Linked DNA regions of Ovis aries. The main gene of each other region encodes a partner of the protein of the gene in region 2 in a complex. Links are inferred from orthologs where the notes say so. Each region holds a gene or a part of one and is shown on either strand. Other genes may lie near its edges.

What was found.
Region 1: ITPR1 (region 2) and PRKG1 share a complex: the UniProt entries of both Homo sapiens proteins name them as parts of the cGMP kinase signaling complex. The link is inferred for Ovis aries from reciprocal best matches to the Homo sapiens genes ITPR1 and PRKG1.

Annotation. Positions count from the first base shown.
Region 1 is NC_056075.1:6,691,071-6,698,782, reverse strand, and holds part of PRKG1 (cGMP-dependent protein kinase 1), read left to right. Parts: intron 1-3,381; coding exon 3,382-3,504; intron 3,505-3,586; coding exon 3,587-3,649; intron 3,650-4,872; coding exon 4,873-4,939; intron 4,940-6,416; coding exon 6,417-6,515; 3' UTR 6,516-7,712. UniProt on the Homo sapiens protein: Serine/threonine protein kinase that acts as a key mediator of the nitric oxide (NO)/cGMP signaling pathway. GMP binding activates PRKG1, which phosphorylates serines and threonines on many cellular proteins.
Region 2 is NC_056072.1:21,854,595-21,862,997, reverse strand, and holds the start of ITPR1 (inositol 1,4,5-trisphosphate receptor type 1), read left to right. Parts: upstream 1-3,060; 5' UTR 3,061-3,322; intron 3,323-4,173; 5' UTR 4,174-4,249; intron 4,250-8,403. UniProt on the Homo sapiens protein: Inositol 1,4,5-trisphosphate-gated calcium channel that, upon inositol 1,4,5-trisphosphate binding, mediates calcium release from the endoplasmic reticulum (ER).

The DNA of each region.
Region 1 (7,712 bases), on a different chromosome or scaffold from region 2:
CAGTTCCTCTTCGCTTTCTGCCATAAGGGTGGTGTCATCTGCATATCTGAGGTTACTGACATTTCTCCCGGCAGTCTTGATTCCAGCTTGTGCTTCTTCCAGCCCAGCGTTTCTCCTGATGTACTCTGCATATAAGTTAAATAAGCAGGGTGACAATATACAGCCTTGACATACTCCTTTTCCTATTTGGAACCAGTCTGTTCCACGTCCAGTTCTGTTGTTTCCTGACCTTTATATAGGTTTCTCAAGAGGCAGGTCAGGTGGTCTAGTATTCCCATCTCCTTCAGAATTTGCCACAGTGTATTATGATCTACACAGTCAAAGGCTTTGGCATAGTCAATAAAGCAGAAATAGATGTTTTTCTGGAACTCTCTTGTTTTTCCATGATCCAGCAGATGCTGGCAATTGGATCTCCGGTTTCTCTGCCTTTTCTAAAACCAGCTTGAACATCAGGAAGTTCACGGTTCACGTATTGCTGAAGCCTGGCTTGGAGAATTTTGACCATTACTTTACTAGCATGTGAGATGAGTGCAATTGTGCAGTAGTTTGAGCATTCTTTGGCATTGCCTTTCTTTGGAATTGGAATGAAAACTGACCTTTTCCAGTCCTGTGGCCACTGCTGAATTTTCCAAATGTGCTGGCATATTGAGTGCAGCACTTTCACAGCATCATCTTTCAGGATTTGAAATAGCTCCACTGGAATTCCATCACCTCCACTAGCTTCGTTTGTAGTGATGCTTTCTAAGGCCCACTTGACTTCACATTCCAGGATGTCTGGCCCTAGGTGAGTGATCACACCATCATGATTATCTTGGTCGTGAAGATCTTTTTTGTACAGTTCTGTGTATTCTTGCCACCTCTTCTTAGTATCTTTTGCTTCTGTTAGGTCCATACCATTTCTGTCTTTTATCATGCCCATCTTTGCATGAAATGTTCCCTTGGTATCTCTAATTTTCTAATATCACTATTAGAGAAATCCAAATCCAAACTACAATGAGTATCACCGCACGCCAGTCAAAATGGATATCATCAAAAAATCCACAAGTAAATGCTGGAGAGGATGTAGAAGGAAAGGAATTCTCCTACACTACTGGTAGGAATTAAATTGGCACAGTTGCTATGAAAAACAGTATGGATGTTTCTTAAAAAACTAAAAATAGAGCTACCTTGTGACCCTGCAGTCTCATTCCTGGACCTATATCCGGATAAAACCATGGTGAGAAAGGATACATGCACCCCCGTGTTCATTGCAGCACTGCTTACAATAGCCAGGACATGGAAGCAACCTAAATGGCCATCAGCAGATGAGTGGATAAAGCAGCGGCTGCGGTGAATATATGCAATGGAATATTACTCAGCCATAAAAAGAATGAAGTAATGGCACATGGATGGACTTAGAGACTTTCATACTGAGTGAAGTCAGAGAAGGAGAAATCTCATGACATCCCATGTGTGTGGAATAAAGAAAGAAAATATACAAATGAACTTATTTACAAAACAAAAACAGACTCACAGATTTACTGAACAAACTTATGGTTGCCAGGGGAAAGGCCTGGGGGAAAGCGATGATTAGGCAGTTTTCAACTAATATGTGCACACTACTACATTTAAAATGGTTAACCAACAAGGTCCTACTGTATAGCACAGGGAATTCTGCTCAATGTTATGTGGCAGTCTGGATGGGAGGGGATTTGGGGGGAGAATGGATACATGTGGCTGAACCCCAATGCTGTCCACCTGCAACTGTCACAGTCTTGTCAGTCTGCTATCAGTTCAGTTCCGTTCAGTTGCTCAGTCATGTCTGACTCTGCGACCCCACGAACCACAGCACGCCAGGCCTCCCTGTCCATCACCAACTCCCGGAGTTCACTCAAAGTCATGTCCGTCGAGTCGGTGATGCCATCCAGCCATCTCATCCTCTGTCATCCCCTTCTCCTCCTGCCCCCAATCCCTCCCAGCATCAGAGTCTTTTCCAATGAGTCAACTCTTCGCATCAGGTGGCCAAAGTACTGGAGTTTCAGCTTTAGCATCATTCCTTCCAAAGAACTCCAATATAAAATATTTTTTTAAAGTACTTGCTACAGAAAATAGGGACACAAAACTTAAGGCAGATACTATCCAACCCTTTTTAAGTAATTCATTGTTTTCAGCTTTCTCAGTAGAAGGAAATAATTTGAACTGCTGTTAATAAATATGACAGACAGAAAATAATCCATAAAATGTCTTCCCCCAAAAAATATGAATAAACACTGTATTAGAGTAATTTCCAAGGAAATCAGCTATCAAGTCACATCATCATTATTTCTGAACTTGGGGAATGTGGTGGAAGGAGTTGACTTTAGTCACTTCTGTATTCCCTGAGCCAGGCACAAAGCCACAGGCCCAGGATGGCTAGGTAAATAAACCCAAAGATTTGGTTACGAGGGATTGGCCACTACATCCTTTCTAACAAAGAGGAGGTCTTAGGTTAGGTTATCTCTGAAGGCTGATAAAGAAGGAGAAAAGCATAGGAGGAGCACTATTCTGTAGGAGCATTAGTTCAACAAATATTTACTGACAACTTACTCTGTGCTATGCATTCCCCCAGACTCTGGGAATACCAGCGTGGAACTGGAAGAGAAGATGGGTATAAAACAAATACAAAATGAAGTAGTTACAAAGCACAATAAGTGGCAAAAAAAGAGTTCTATAAGAGAGTATGATAGGTGAATCTAACTTTAAGTTCTGGTATTAGACCATTACATTATGTTAGTTGATAATGGTTCTGTGATTGGCTGTATTAGGTTGATCACAGTAGGCCTTTCTGAGTAAGCAACATAACACTTAAGCTAAGACTTCATAAGTGAGGCATTAACCAGGAGGCCTGGGAAGAAACTTCCAGGCAAAATGAACAGTGCCCTGAGGTGGGAGAATATTTGGTCCTTCAGAGGAGCAGAGAGAAGACTGGTACGCCTGGATCCCAGTGAGTGAGGGTAGAGCTGGCATAAGATGGGGTCATATCAGTGATGCTCCTGTCGCCCATTCTAATGATGTTGGACTTCAAGTGTAGTCAGTGAGCTTGCAAATGTGAGAAAGGGCCAAAAAGTAGAAGAGGCTTTCTGAATGACTAAGAACAGCAAGCGGGGTTAGTCACCAGCACTAAAACAGAAATGAGGGGAACAGTGGACAAACCCGACCCATTTAAGGGTTTTGCTAAATGATTTGCTCAGCAAGGTTTCTACACCGTTTTGCTATGAATCAAGTTTCGTTCCACTACCCCTGTTACTATATGTCTCCAAATAAGAACTGATGTCATTTGTGGAGTTGTTGTTATAACACTGTAACTTTTCTTGTTTAGAAAACTAAATACTATCTCTCTCTTCATATCTGTCATTCTTGCAGCCCACCTTTCTCAGGCCCAGATCCTATGAAAACCTATAACATCATATTGAGGGGGATTGACATGATAGAATTTCCAAAGAAGATTGCCAAAAATGCTGCTAATTTAATTAAAAAACTGTGCAGGTGAGCATTTCGACCGCATTGTTTTTCCCATTATGATCCTTTAAAAAAATAGATTTTTTAACAATTATTATTTTATTTTCAGGGATAATCCATCAGAAAGATTAGGGAATTTGAAAAACGGAGTGAAAGACATTCAAAAGCACAAGTAAGTGTTCTTATAACTTATGGTTTAAGCGTTCAGAGAATATTTCCCAAGGCTGATGATTTTAAGTTAGTGGTTATATAACTGATGCAACTAGTCCATAGGAGCATCCGATGAGACAGGCAAACTAGTTAGCCTTGTTATTTAAGATCTTTCTAGTTTTGTCTCAAGGACTTTATTTAGACGCATCTGATCCTGTGACCTTCTGAACAACAGAATCACTGAATTTAGTTTTTCCCAGCTCCTACTAATTAGGACTTTTCCTCTCCAGCATGAAGAAGAAATACATATTTTTAATTCTGAAATTCTATTCTCTACCAGAATATTAAAAACAAAAGTATGCCACCATATATCATGCCTCATTTCCTTAACTAAAACATATGTTTTCAACCATTTCCTAATTGGATGCTCTGACAGTAGGAAAAAAAGTACAGAGTACAGTCATTTTTTAAAACAATGTAGCATCTTAAACAGTAAACCTTACCCATGTTGATTGAATGTTCTAAAGCTAAACCAAGATCATATTGGTCTTTCCCTATTGGTTTCTGTAACATGCAGAGGAAATTCATATCCTTACCAAAGGAATGTGTTTCCCACAATACCTATGAATGTCTAAAAAGCCTGCGGGAATTTCATGTAATTATTTGCTAATGATGAAATCTTTCAAAGACAACAACAACAACAAAGACCTTTGTGATATTTGGTCCCCATTTTCACAAAAAGCCATACTCAAAGTACCTTCATTGAACCAAAAAAAGAAAGAAAGAAAATGAGATACAGATACATAGAGACCAAGACAGTGATGTGAAAAGGTTAATTAACTGAGGCTGCCCAGTAACAAAGATGGAAGGATAATTTTCCCTCCTGACATTTCATTCCCTGATTCTGCCTCCTTAAAATAACAACCTGTAGGGTACAGGGCCAAGCATATTATGGCATTTATTAAGTTATAATGATCATTTTGGAACAAGGTCATGACTGAAATAACTAGAATAAAAAGCAATTGCTATTGGTCTTTAAAATTTTGACAATTAGATTTTTTTTAAAAAATGCATTCCACTTAAGAAGCTAACATTTAAAATCTGCAATTAAATAGAAAACATTATTCTTATAATGAAAATGTTTGCTTACCTGTTTTCCATCAGTCATGGACATCATATAAGTTGTTTTGAGAAGGCTTTAACTGAGGTAAAATGCCTTTAACTATCTATTTTTTCCTCTTTTAGATGGTTTGAGGGCTTTAACTGGGAAGGCTTAAGAAAAGGCACCTTGACACCTCCTATAATACCAAGTGTAAGTAAACTTTCCAGCTTGTAATTGTGTGATACACATCTGCTATTTCAAACTTTTTATCCTATGATCAGCTTAAAACATAGGAGAAATAGCAGATTAACAAAATGACACCTTCTAAAATTCAAACTTATAATGTGTTAAATATACAAGTGTTGACAGAAGAGTATAATGAATCTCTTTTTCCACATACTATAAGAACTTTATACATCTTTGCCCAAGAATATATTTACAACCTTAGTTAGTCATATTCATAAATTATTTTAAATTTCTGCACATTCATGTAATTGTCTATATAAGATGCAAAAGCTCTGTAGTGTGTACTTGAGTATACTTAGATGAGTTAGGAATCTGTTATTCTTACCTTCTGGTTATGACTCCACCATGCTCTGTCTCCAAGAGTCCAATCCAAATGGGCCACATCACAACATTCCCTGCCCTGTGGTTTTTTGTTGAGTTTAGACAACAGTTCAGCTACCAGTTTCAACCGTTTTCAATTCCTGGCCAATATCGTTTCATTTATGCTCCACATACTTCCTCCTCCTCTGCCCCCATAGTTCTTTAAAGTGTTCCTAAGCACAGTTCTTTTCTTTTATTGTTTGATCAGGCTCTAAAAGAAAGACATTCCCTTCTAATATAGCAGGTGTTTTGTTAAACTACTAGTCCACAAAGTGAACCAAGTGTTTACACTGTGTTAACCCGAAATAGATTTCAATTGACTGCATTTATATTTTTATTCAATACAGCATCTATCTAATAAAATCTGTTCGGTCTTAACTAATGAGGAGAGGGCTGTTTTGCACTCCTGAGCTCTTCATTTATATACATCCTTTCTTCTGGGACTAATTTAAGATCACTCCTTATACAGAAACAATTGCTGTACTTATTATTTTAATTTGTATGCTTATATTTATGTTTATTCACAAACAAAGTAAAGTACAGATGTTAACTGCATTCATGAAGTTTTCTTTTTAGAACAAAGGCAGAATAAGAAACTTTAAGAGGAAAATAAAAGCCTAAAATATCCTAACTTATACTCACCAGGGGTCTCCTTTTATGCGACAGTAGTATTAAATTAAATGGAAGAATATATATATATATATATATATATATATATATAATGTATGTAAATATATAGAATAGAATATGAAGTCCTAAATATTATAGAATATGAGAGAAACTAAAGTCTGCTTCTTCAGCACCTTTATTTATGCTCTGCATATTGAACTGCCAGTCAACTTGTAAGAGTTTACAGAGATGTTTTCTAATTATTTCTTTTAATCACACAACTTATTCTTCCCTAGAGTGTAAACTCTAGAAGGGCAAAGCTATGCCTATTTTTATTCACCACTGTAATCCTCAATACAAAGGACAACTCCTGCTCATGGTAGACATGCCCAAAATAGCCACTGAATAAGGAATGAATAAAGATTGCTTTTAAAAATCTAGCTTGGAATTCCACTAATACTCTTGTTTACAGGTGGCATCACCCACAGACACAAGCAATTTTGACAGTTTCCCTGAGGACAATGACGAACCACCACCTGACGACAACTCGGGATGGGACATAGACTTCTAATGCATTTCTCTTACCTGCTTCTGCCTTGCTGGAGACAGCTTTTTCTAAGACACAGCTGCCAGCAAACCTGAAGGAAAGAGAGAAGATGAGTGCTCGGGGTCACCATGATGCCTTTGATCGATGCTGCTCCAGTAACTACAGTGGCATTAGGACTTATTGCTTAGATGACAATAGTGCTCTTTACATGTTTTCTGTTTGAACCTAAATATAGCAGTTGACATGGTGGTCCTGAAGGCAAGCCTTTCACCAGTAAAGAGATGTTCTTCATTGTTGCAATGATCTTGCTTTGCTCTGATTATAATTCGAAAGACTGTAAGAAACACTTCAATCTAGTAAAAGAGTCAGTACCTTGCTAGAATTATCAAGAAGATCGAAAAATAATATATTGGGTACTATAGATTATTATGGTACAAAAACTGGACTCTTCCCTTTCTTTAAGGGAGGGTTGTCGGTTCTGTTACTGCAAGCCGGTGTATATACCGTACACAAGAGGACCACACATCTGCTGGTCACAGAGGTCATGTCAAACCAGTGCTAGAAGTTTCATGATTTTATTTCCCAGCAGTGCTGATGACGAGACTGAATGTTCCCTTTCCTTTCTGACAGATTTTAGAAACTGGTATGATAAAAGCACAACTGCTATGGATTCTGCTGAGAAATTTCATAGCAGGTATATACGTGTTTTCACAGAGGACTGAAGAAAAATCAACATGCATGATATATCTGCTCATTTCTTTTTGATAAATTGGCATGACAGAGTGGGGGAAAAAAAGCAATTCACAAATCATTTCATATTTTTTTAAATAGTGTGCTTAAAGATGGTCCTGGAAATAAATGACTAGCAGCCACTTGGTTTTAATTTGTTACCTAACACACCCTCAAACTGAGGCTTAAAATATTCCCTTTTATAAAAATAAACCCTTACGATAGGGTGGGGTGGAGAGGGATTAAGATCCATCCAAAAAAAAAAAAAAACTATATAGGTGCTATGTACATTTTTCATCTGTAAATGTCAGTGTCTGAACAGACAACACAAATTCTAATCATTATATGTGTAGCCAGAGACTCAAGCATTTTCACTCAAGTTATCAAACCAAACTCCTGTCAGATTTCACTTATACGACATAGTCTAAGGTTAAGGGAGAAAGGTGACTAAACGTGTACTTGAACTAGCTTCCTGTCTTAGGCCTGAACCAA
Region 2 (8,403 bases):
TCCTGTCATAAGTGTTTGAAGTTTAGTGTGTATTCTACACTTTCTTCACATCTCAGTTACAAATAGCTACATCTTAAGTGCCCAAATGTTTTGTAGCTACTGTATTAGAGAGCACAGATCTAGAAAATTTTTCTAGGGAAAAATACAACTAAGACAAATAAGCCCCCTTACCTCTATAGATAATGGAGGGTGAGTTGGGCAGTGGCCCTTTTATTGTGATATCAATCACCAGTCATACACCATCGCAGAGAACTTCTGAGCATCATTGCAAATTTATTACAACTACCTTCTGGTGACCCAGTAGCTTCCAGAACTTGAGGTTAGTTGCATAATGTTGAAAAGGACTATTCATACATACAGGTAGAGGAAACAGTCTGTGACGCAAATGGGCTACAAGGTGTGTGCCCAGAAAATACGTTCATCTAGCTTGCCACATGCCTGCCACACCTCCTGTCAAAACACCTTTTTAGAATGAACTTTTTTTTTTTTTTTGGCATATGTAAAAAAATACACAGACAAAGGACTAAGGCTTTCTGAGTTAGGAATGGTAGGGAATACAACCATGAATAAAAGATGGCCCCTGCCTTTAATGAAACTTGTCTTCTCGATGAGAAGACAGTGGAGATAACAGTTAAAGGTCAGGCGTCCACAGTATGGTGAGGATGAATATTACCCAACTCCAGCCCTCAGACATGACCAAGTTTTCTTAAGAAAACCCACTTTAAAATCCCACTGTTTCTCTGAGTTAGAAGCACAGGAAATAATCACCTTTAATGTTTACCAGTTATGTTAGCATAGAATGATTTGTTGAATTTAAAACATAGAGCCACAAACCATTTAGAAATGGAACAGATTGTTTTCATGAAGGAAAAGAAGAAAGGGGACAGATATGTAAGGTGTGGATTCATTTTTTGTGACAGGTCAGGGGAGCATCTTGCTGATGGGACTGGTAGCTTGAGGCTTTAGGCACAAGGCTGTGGTGTCCAACAACCAGAGGATGATGTTGAAAAAGAGGAGACAAGAGTGAAAGTGATAACCATTCTTGCTGATTAAATGCTTATATGAGCAGACAAATACAATGTATATGTTTACATTGGGGAAGCTGTGGATGGCAGTGGTTAAGAACTAAGGATTGGGAGACTTCCCTGGTGGTCCAGTGGTTAAGAATCCCAAGGGACATAGGTTCGACCCCTGGTTGGGAAACTAAGATCCCACATGCTGCAACTAAAACCTAAGGCAGCCAAGAAAAAAAAAAAAAAGAAGAACCAAGGTTTGGGAGTCAAGACAGCCTACCCCGCTGTGTGACTTTGGGAGTTATTTAACTTCTCTATGCCTCAACTTTCTCATAAGTTAAAAAAAAAAGTTCATTAATAGGACTTGATGAGAGAATGTACATGAAGAGTTTAGAATAATGCCTGGCACATGGCATGAATCCAATAATTATTATCTAAATTATTATTAGCCAATAATTATTATTACTTTGGGCATTATTATGTCAGTAATAATTATTAGCTATGGTGCTTCCCTAATTTGTTGCTGAAGTCCGCAAGACTGTGGACTCTGTATCAAGCAATCCTGACAAAAGATTGGCAAATTCTAATGATTTTTCTCCCTCTCCGATGGCAAAACTAGGGCAAAGAGATAAAAAATGACTTGCCCAAGGGCTCAGAGGCTGCTCCCAAAATGGGGAGGGAGGCCATTTAAAGTAGTGCTGACGGATTTCCCCGGAGACAAGGACTTAGTATACTTATAGGCTGGAATTGGAATCCGGGCTGCACTACTTAACTGATGGTGTCATCTTGAGAATTCATCTGATTTCTTTGAGCTCTCAGTTGTGCCTCTGTCAAATAGGGACAATAAATAAGTCAAGGGTTGTTAAAACTCATGAAAAGCGCATGTGGGCTGGGCTCAAAAGAGTCAAACTCCTCAATTATTATTATTGCTGTTGCTGTTGTAGCAGATCTTTTGCGGCGGTAGGCAGTGCCTATCCGGAACACAGTGGAACACTCAACACCATGCCCCAGTGCCTGGCACCCAGTACACTCTCAGGAAACGTCGGGAGAATGAACGCACATCTGAGGCTCGACTTGCCCACCTTCCCAAAGCGGGAGCCTGAGCAGATAGCCCGGGATGTCCAGGTATCACTTAGCAGTGAGCTGAATCCACTTTATGTCCCGGAAGCCCCTGTAGGACCTGCTGGAGGGCGCCCCGCCTGGACGCGCATCTTCTTGTGAGCGGCTCGCTCCAAAGCCCTTATTTTTCTGGTTTGCGGTTTATTTACTTAAGCATTTGCAACTCCCGGGAGGAGAGGGGCTGCTTGTAGCAGGGTCAGCACCGAGGTCGTGATTCGTATTTATTTTCTGCCTCTCAATCTCAGCACCGGCAAGTCACAACCAGGCTCCTTTACATGTGCACGGAGACGCTTGCGTTTCTTTACCTCCTGAGGGGCAAGGAAAGACAAGCGCAGTTCGGGTTCAGGAAAGTGCTCTCAAGCCTCTTGCCTGTGTTCCCACTTGCGTTGCTCCCAGACTTAGATTTCTGTGCAAACCCGAAGAAAGCGGAACAGCTTAAATAAAGACAACCTCACGCCTTTAATCCTTGACCGCAAACACTGGAGTTTTTGTGCCCTGGATTTCTGAAATTCTTGGCTGGGTACTCAAAGCGGGGGAAGGGTGGGTAACAGCTTGTAAAAACTTCCCAAAGCAGAAATCCGAGCTCTTCCCCGCCCCCTGCTCCCAATGACACCTGGATTCTAGAGAAATGGGGCAGCCGACGGAGGAGCGTCCCCAAGGGCTGGGGGCGCCCCCCACGGGTGGTTTTGAGTCGCGGGTTCCTAAGCCAACGGGTTCTCGGCGCAGAGCCGGGTTTGAAGCCCGGACTCCCCGCAGGACGCCCCTCCCTGTCCCCGTGCGCGTCTATTTAGAGCCCAGCCTGGGAACCCATGGGATTCTGGGACTTGTAGTTCACCCTCGCAGCCCCAGGCGCTGCCACGACCCCGGACTCGGACTACATTGCCCAGGGAGCGTCCCGGCCTATATAAGCTGCCAGGAGCTGCTTCGAAGTGCAGTAACCATGTGGATGTGCTGCTGAAGCGTTTCCTCTAGCTCGCTGGGGTGGGAGGAGAGAAGGAGGAGGTGGTGGTGGTGGAGGAGGAGGCAGAGGGTGGAGAGAGAGAAATCGCACGCCGAGAGGAGGTGTGGGTGTTCCGCTTCCATCCTAACGGAACGAGCTCCCTCTTCGCGGACATGGGATTACCCAGCGGCTGCTAACCCCCTCTCCTCGCCCTGCTCCGCCAAAGTGGCGTGGCTCCCCGGGCACTAAGGTAGCGGCTGGGGGCCGGGTAGAGGGCGCGGGGAGTTGGTACTGTCCCCAGGAGCAGAAGTTTTTGCCTCGCTCTCTTCTCGTTCTTGGTGGATTTTCATGCACTTGCATGCATTCTGGGGGTTCTTTTCCTGAGGGCATTTTGGGGGTGTTCATTTAAGGTTAAAAAAAATTCTCGATTCCATCGACTGGCTTTGAGGCTACTCATTCTGGGTTGTAAAGGCATTCCCCCAAGTTGGAAACTAGCAGCAGCTGCAGAAAATAGTGGGTTTTGGTGGCGAGGGGGCAGGGAGGGAGGTCGTGGAGATGTCCTATGTGAGTAGGCTAAAGGAAACAATCTTTCTTAAAATGCAGCCTTCCGTTGTGCTGCAAGGGAGAGGAATGCATATGTGGGGGCCCCAGTGGGGAGGTTTTAGAAAAACGGAAGAGAACCCGGGGAGCGGTGACGGATGAAGTGTGGACGGAGCTCACGCCTGATGGGGATGCGGGCTTTGGATACTTGGCCTCCGCTCCTGGAAACAAGTGCTTTGGGATCAGCCAAACACTTCTCTTAGTTTCAGCCCCACGGCGCGTTCGAAGTTTGTGCGTACTTAGTCTCACTTGTCAGTTGTATATTGGAAACAGATGAAATGACCAGTAATCTTTACCTAAGTGAACCCACCAACCTACCTGTCAAATCTGGTGGTGGTGGCGGTCCTGCGTGTGTATGTGTGTGTTTTGGGGGAGGGAGGAGGGTTGTCTCTCCAGGAAGGAGGTTAACTGAAAGTGGAAATGTAGAATTTGAAAATTTCTATTAGGGACCCACTTCTGTCCAATCTCGCATTCAGCTTTCTTTCTTTCTCAATTACTTAGGAGCTGACCACCAGGGAGCAGAACTCACACCCCTGGCTGGGCGTGTTTTGGCAACAGAGTGCCTGACCTGGGTCAGGTGAGTGCGGAAGCCTGAAAGCTGTAGTTAATAATGAGTTTTGGTCCTAAGCCTATTTTAAGTTCTCGCTAAGGAGTCATGGAGATGGGGAGTAGGAAGAGACAGGAAACTCCATGGCAAATTCTCTGAAATTTGTCACTGCCTGTGGTAAGGGCTTTAGGGAATGTATGAGATCCAGGGGGCAGTCCTGTCTAGTACTTTTGGCCCTGACTCAGAAGTGAAGCAGCCTGAAGGTTTACGGGAGCAGGGGGAAAAAAGAAAGAGATGGAGCAGTAAAAGGGATGCCCACTGGTGATCTGAGAATTGAACTTGCCAGGAGGTGTGCTGATGATTTAAATTTTGAAAGATGCAGTGCATTTCATCTGCCAAGATACATAAGCAAAATTTATCTGCTTCCCTCTTTCAAAAATAGTCACTTTCCTTTTTTTTCCCCCTTATACTGTGAATATGTGTTTAATCAGAGTAGGTTGTGTGGCAAGAGATTCAAGTGGGTTGCTGGCAAATTGAACTTGAAAAAGGGAAGTTCTTGAAGCTTAAGAAAGTAACATCCAATCCTTGATGCCACCTGAGCATCAAGGAATCTGGTGGATTCCTCTGGTTTAGGTGCCTGTCATGGGATATGAGCTGAGAGCATCATTTATCTGTAAACGCAAGCAGCTCTTATGTTTTCTCCTGCAAATGTTCAGACTGCACTTCAAGAGAGGGAGGTTTTACCAGGTGCACAAATGCCCATTGCTGCAGATTTGAGCATCACAAGCTTTTTCTTCTGAAATGGTTAGGGATAGGATAAACAACAGGGTAATACAGGTGGGTGGGGCCTGGGTCTTCATAACTTATTTAACATTCTAAATATTTAGCTGTTCCCTGGGCTACAATCTTTGGGCTTTTCTAATTAGAAAAGAAGTCAGACACTTCATTATAGTAGTATTGTGCTTTTGTTTCCTGTTGATAAGATCCTCCGGAGTGCTGGTGGAGTGGGAAGTATTTGGATGTGTGAGGTCCACTTCCTTTTTGGAGTTCTCTTGACTCCCATAGCTACGTGGGCATTCATAAGGCCAAGGATTGGGTTCAGTTCCCCTCTTCAGAGGAAGCTGCAGGCAAGGAGAAAGTGGTCCACAAAATCTTCTCTGACTGGTTGCTAAAAATGAGAATAATAGACATGAAGTACTTGTAAGCCAGGTCCATAGCTATACATCACAGGAACCCTGTGAGTCAGGTACGGGCGAAGAAGCTGAGGTGCAGAGTGAGATCACTTGTCCAGTGGATGCAAGCTGTAACCCCAGGCTTTGGGATTTTGCTATTTCCCACAAATGCGTCTCAGTGGAGGGGGAATATGAGGGTAACTAGGAAAAATGGTACATGTATTGCTGTTGAAGAAATAACTCTTCATTGTGTCCTACCAATGATAAAGGAACAAAGTGACCTTGATATAGGAAAAAAACAATGTAGCCGTAGAAAGACTCTTGGTTTTTGAGGAGGTCTTAGGTATTGTACTGAGTTCATTGTAGAAAACTGTCTGCTGAAAGCCTACATGAGGAGAGTAAAAGAATCCAAACTACAAGTAACACTGTCTGGATTCAACACTGGGTTTATTTCACACCTGAAATGCATCTTGATCAGCTACATCAAGGCATCTGAGTAGGTTACAAGAATCAGGTGTTGCTCTATTGGAATAATTTGTAAGTTTAAATTGCAGTGAATCTGAACTGTGAAATGTTGACTGTCTTTTCATATATTCTTAGTTTGCTTTGTGGCCAACTGTGCAAGATCACTTTTCTTTTTCGTTTCTTACTTTCACTTGCGTGTATGTATGTGTTGAAAGTATAATCTGCTTTTTGAATAATTCAAATTGAAACAATATCCTACCAAGATTTCCTTCTTATCAGGCAGGCAAAGTTCTTCATGCTCGAAATGAATTGCTCCTGGTCTCCCGTTTGAGACTCATGGAAGTTCTTTGGGGTTGACAATGGTGTTACCTATTTAAACAAAGTGGTTGCCTTCTGGAGAGAATAAGCATCTTTAGGAAGAAGACGTGGAAACTTTGCTTAGAGAAGAGATAGGTGAACTGAAATCAGATCCATTGCTTTATATATCAAAGTATTTTCAACTGAGGAAGACCATGGTCTTAAAGAGAGAAAGAAACTTCTAATACAATGGTGTGCAACCAACCGACTTGCACAGCAAAAAAATCAAATGGCTTTTTAGTTCATTTGTAATGATTGAATGGAAAATCTGATTTATTTATGAGCAACTCTTAAACCAAAGTGAAACAACAGACACCAAATTTGAACAACAGAAAAAACTCAAAATATTAAAATTAGGCCTGTAGTTAAGTTTTCAGGTCAAGCTGTACTTGCATACATCTGATTAAAAGCCTGCCCAAGGCCAGTGTCGGTTTTCTTTGCTGTTGGTTTGATCTTTTAAAATAAAACACATTGCTTTCACAGGCTGTTTATTAATTGTAAGTATTAATACATAGTTTTTTTTTTAGTTCACTTAGCCTGTTTTAATTTTTTCCTGACTCTTTTGATGAAATCAACTAAGGCTTGAAGTCAGTGACGTGAATGACAATTTCCTTGATTCCTACCAGTTGTCATAGTGTTTGTGGTTCTGAGGCTATTGCTAATGAGGATGAGTTGGAACCACCATCCACTGAACTATTCCTTGTAATGAACTTTGTCTGGATTCTTCCCTAAACTGGACATAGTTTAAGGCACTTGGTGTGATAAATCTATCCTAGCAATTCTAATGCTGACTAAAATTATGGTTAAACTATTTTATTCCTTCATTCAAATCTTTGGAGTACCTGCTATGTGCCAGGGTGTGTTCCAGATGCTGAGGTTACAGCAGTAGAAGTCCTATACCTTTTATTTTTTAAATTTTGGCTGCTTTGGGTCTTGTTGTGATAAACGAACTTTCTCTAGTTGCAGCATGTAGGCCAAGTTGTAAGTGCAATCTTAGTTCCCTGCCAAAGGATCGAACCCTCATATCCTCTGGAAGGAGAGGCAAATTCTTAATCACTGGACCACCAGGAAAGTCCTCAAGCGCCCTATTCCTAAGAGGTCTTAAGTGCTAGTTCAGGGGAGGCAGCCAATATAAAAAGCAAGTATTATAGTATGACAGGTAGTAAATGATTTGAGGAAAAATGGAGTAAGGACTAAGAGAAAACAACAGTGTTGGTGAAGAAGTGGATAAGTTGGGACCCTTATGTGCTGTTGGTGGGAACGTGCAATGTTGCTGCTGCTGTGGAAGACAGTGTGGCTGTCCCTCAAAAAATTAAGCATAGAAATTACCAGATAATCCAGCAGTTCCGCTTTTGAGTATATACCCCAAGGAATTGAAAGCAGGAACTCAAACGTATTGGTACGGCCATGTTCACAGCAGCATTATTCATGATAGCCAAAAGATGGAAATAACCCAAATGTTCACAGAAGGATGAGTGGATAAATAAGATGTAGTATATCTGCACAGTGGAATATTACTAGGCCTTAAAAAGAAATGAAATTCTGATACCTGCTGCAACAGGGATGAACCTTGAAAACATTCTGTTAAGTGAAATAGAAAGTGAAAAGTGTTAGTCATCACTCAGTCATGTCCGACTCTCTGTGACCCCATGGACTGTAGCCCACGAGACTCCCCTGTCTGTAGAATTCTCCAGGCAAGAATACTGGAGTAGGTGGTCCTTTGCTTCTCCAGGGGATCTTCCCAACCCAGCGATCGAACCCGACTCTCCTACTTTGCAGGCACATTCTTTACTGTCTGAGCCACCAGGGAAGCCAGATGCAAAATAGCAAATAGTGTATGGTTCCACTTTGAAGAGGTCCCTAGAGCAATCACATTCACAGAGGCAGAAAGCAGAATAGTGGCTGCCCTGGGTGGGGGTGCTGGGGAATGAGGAGTTTAATGGGCACAGAGTTTCCTTTTGGGGAAGATGAAAAGGTACTGGAAATGGATTGTGGTGATGGTTGCAGAACAAAGTTGACTGTACTTAATGCCTCTGAATCATACAGTTAAAAATGGCTAAAATGGTAAATTTTATGTTATGCATGTATATTTTACCACAATAAAAAGGAAGGGTATCAGCAACAGAACAGGGTAAAGGGCATCAGGGAGCACTGTGGTAGGGGGTGGGAATCGGGGAAGGGCTCATTAGT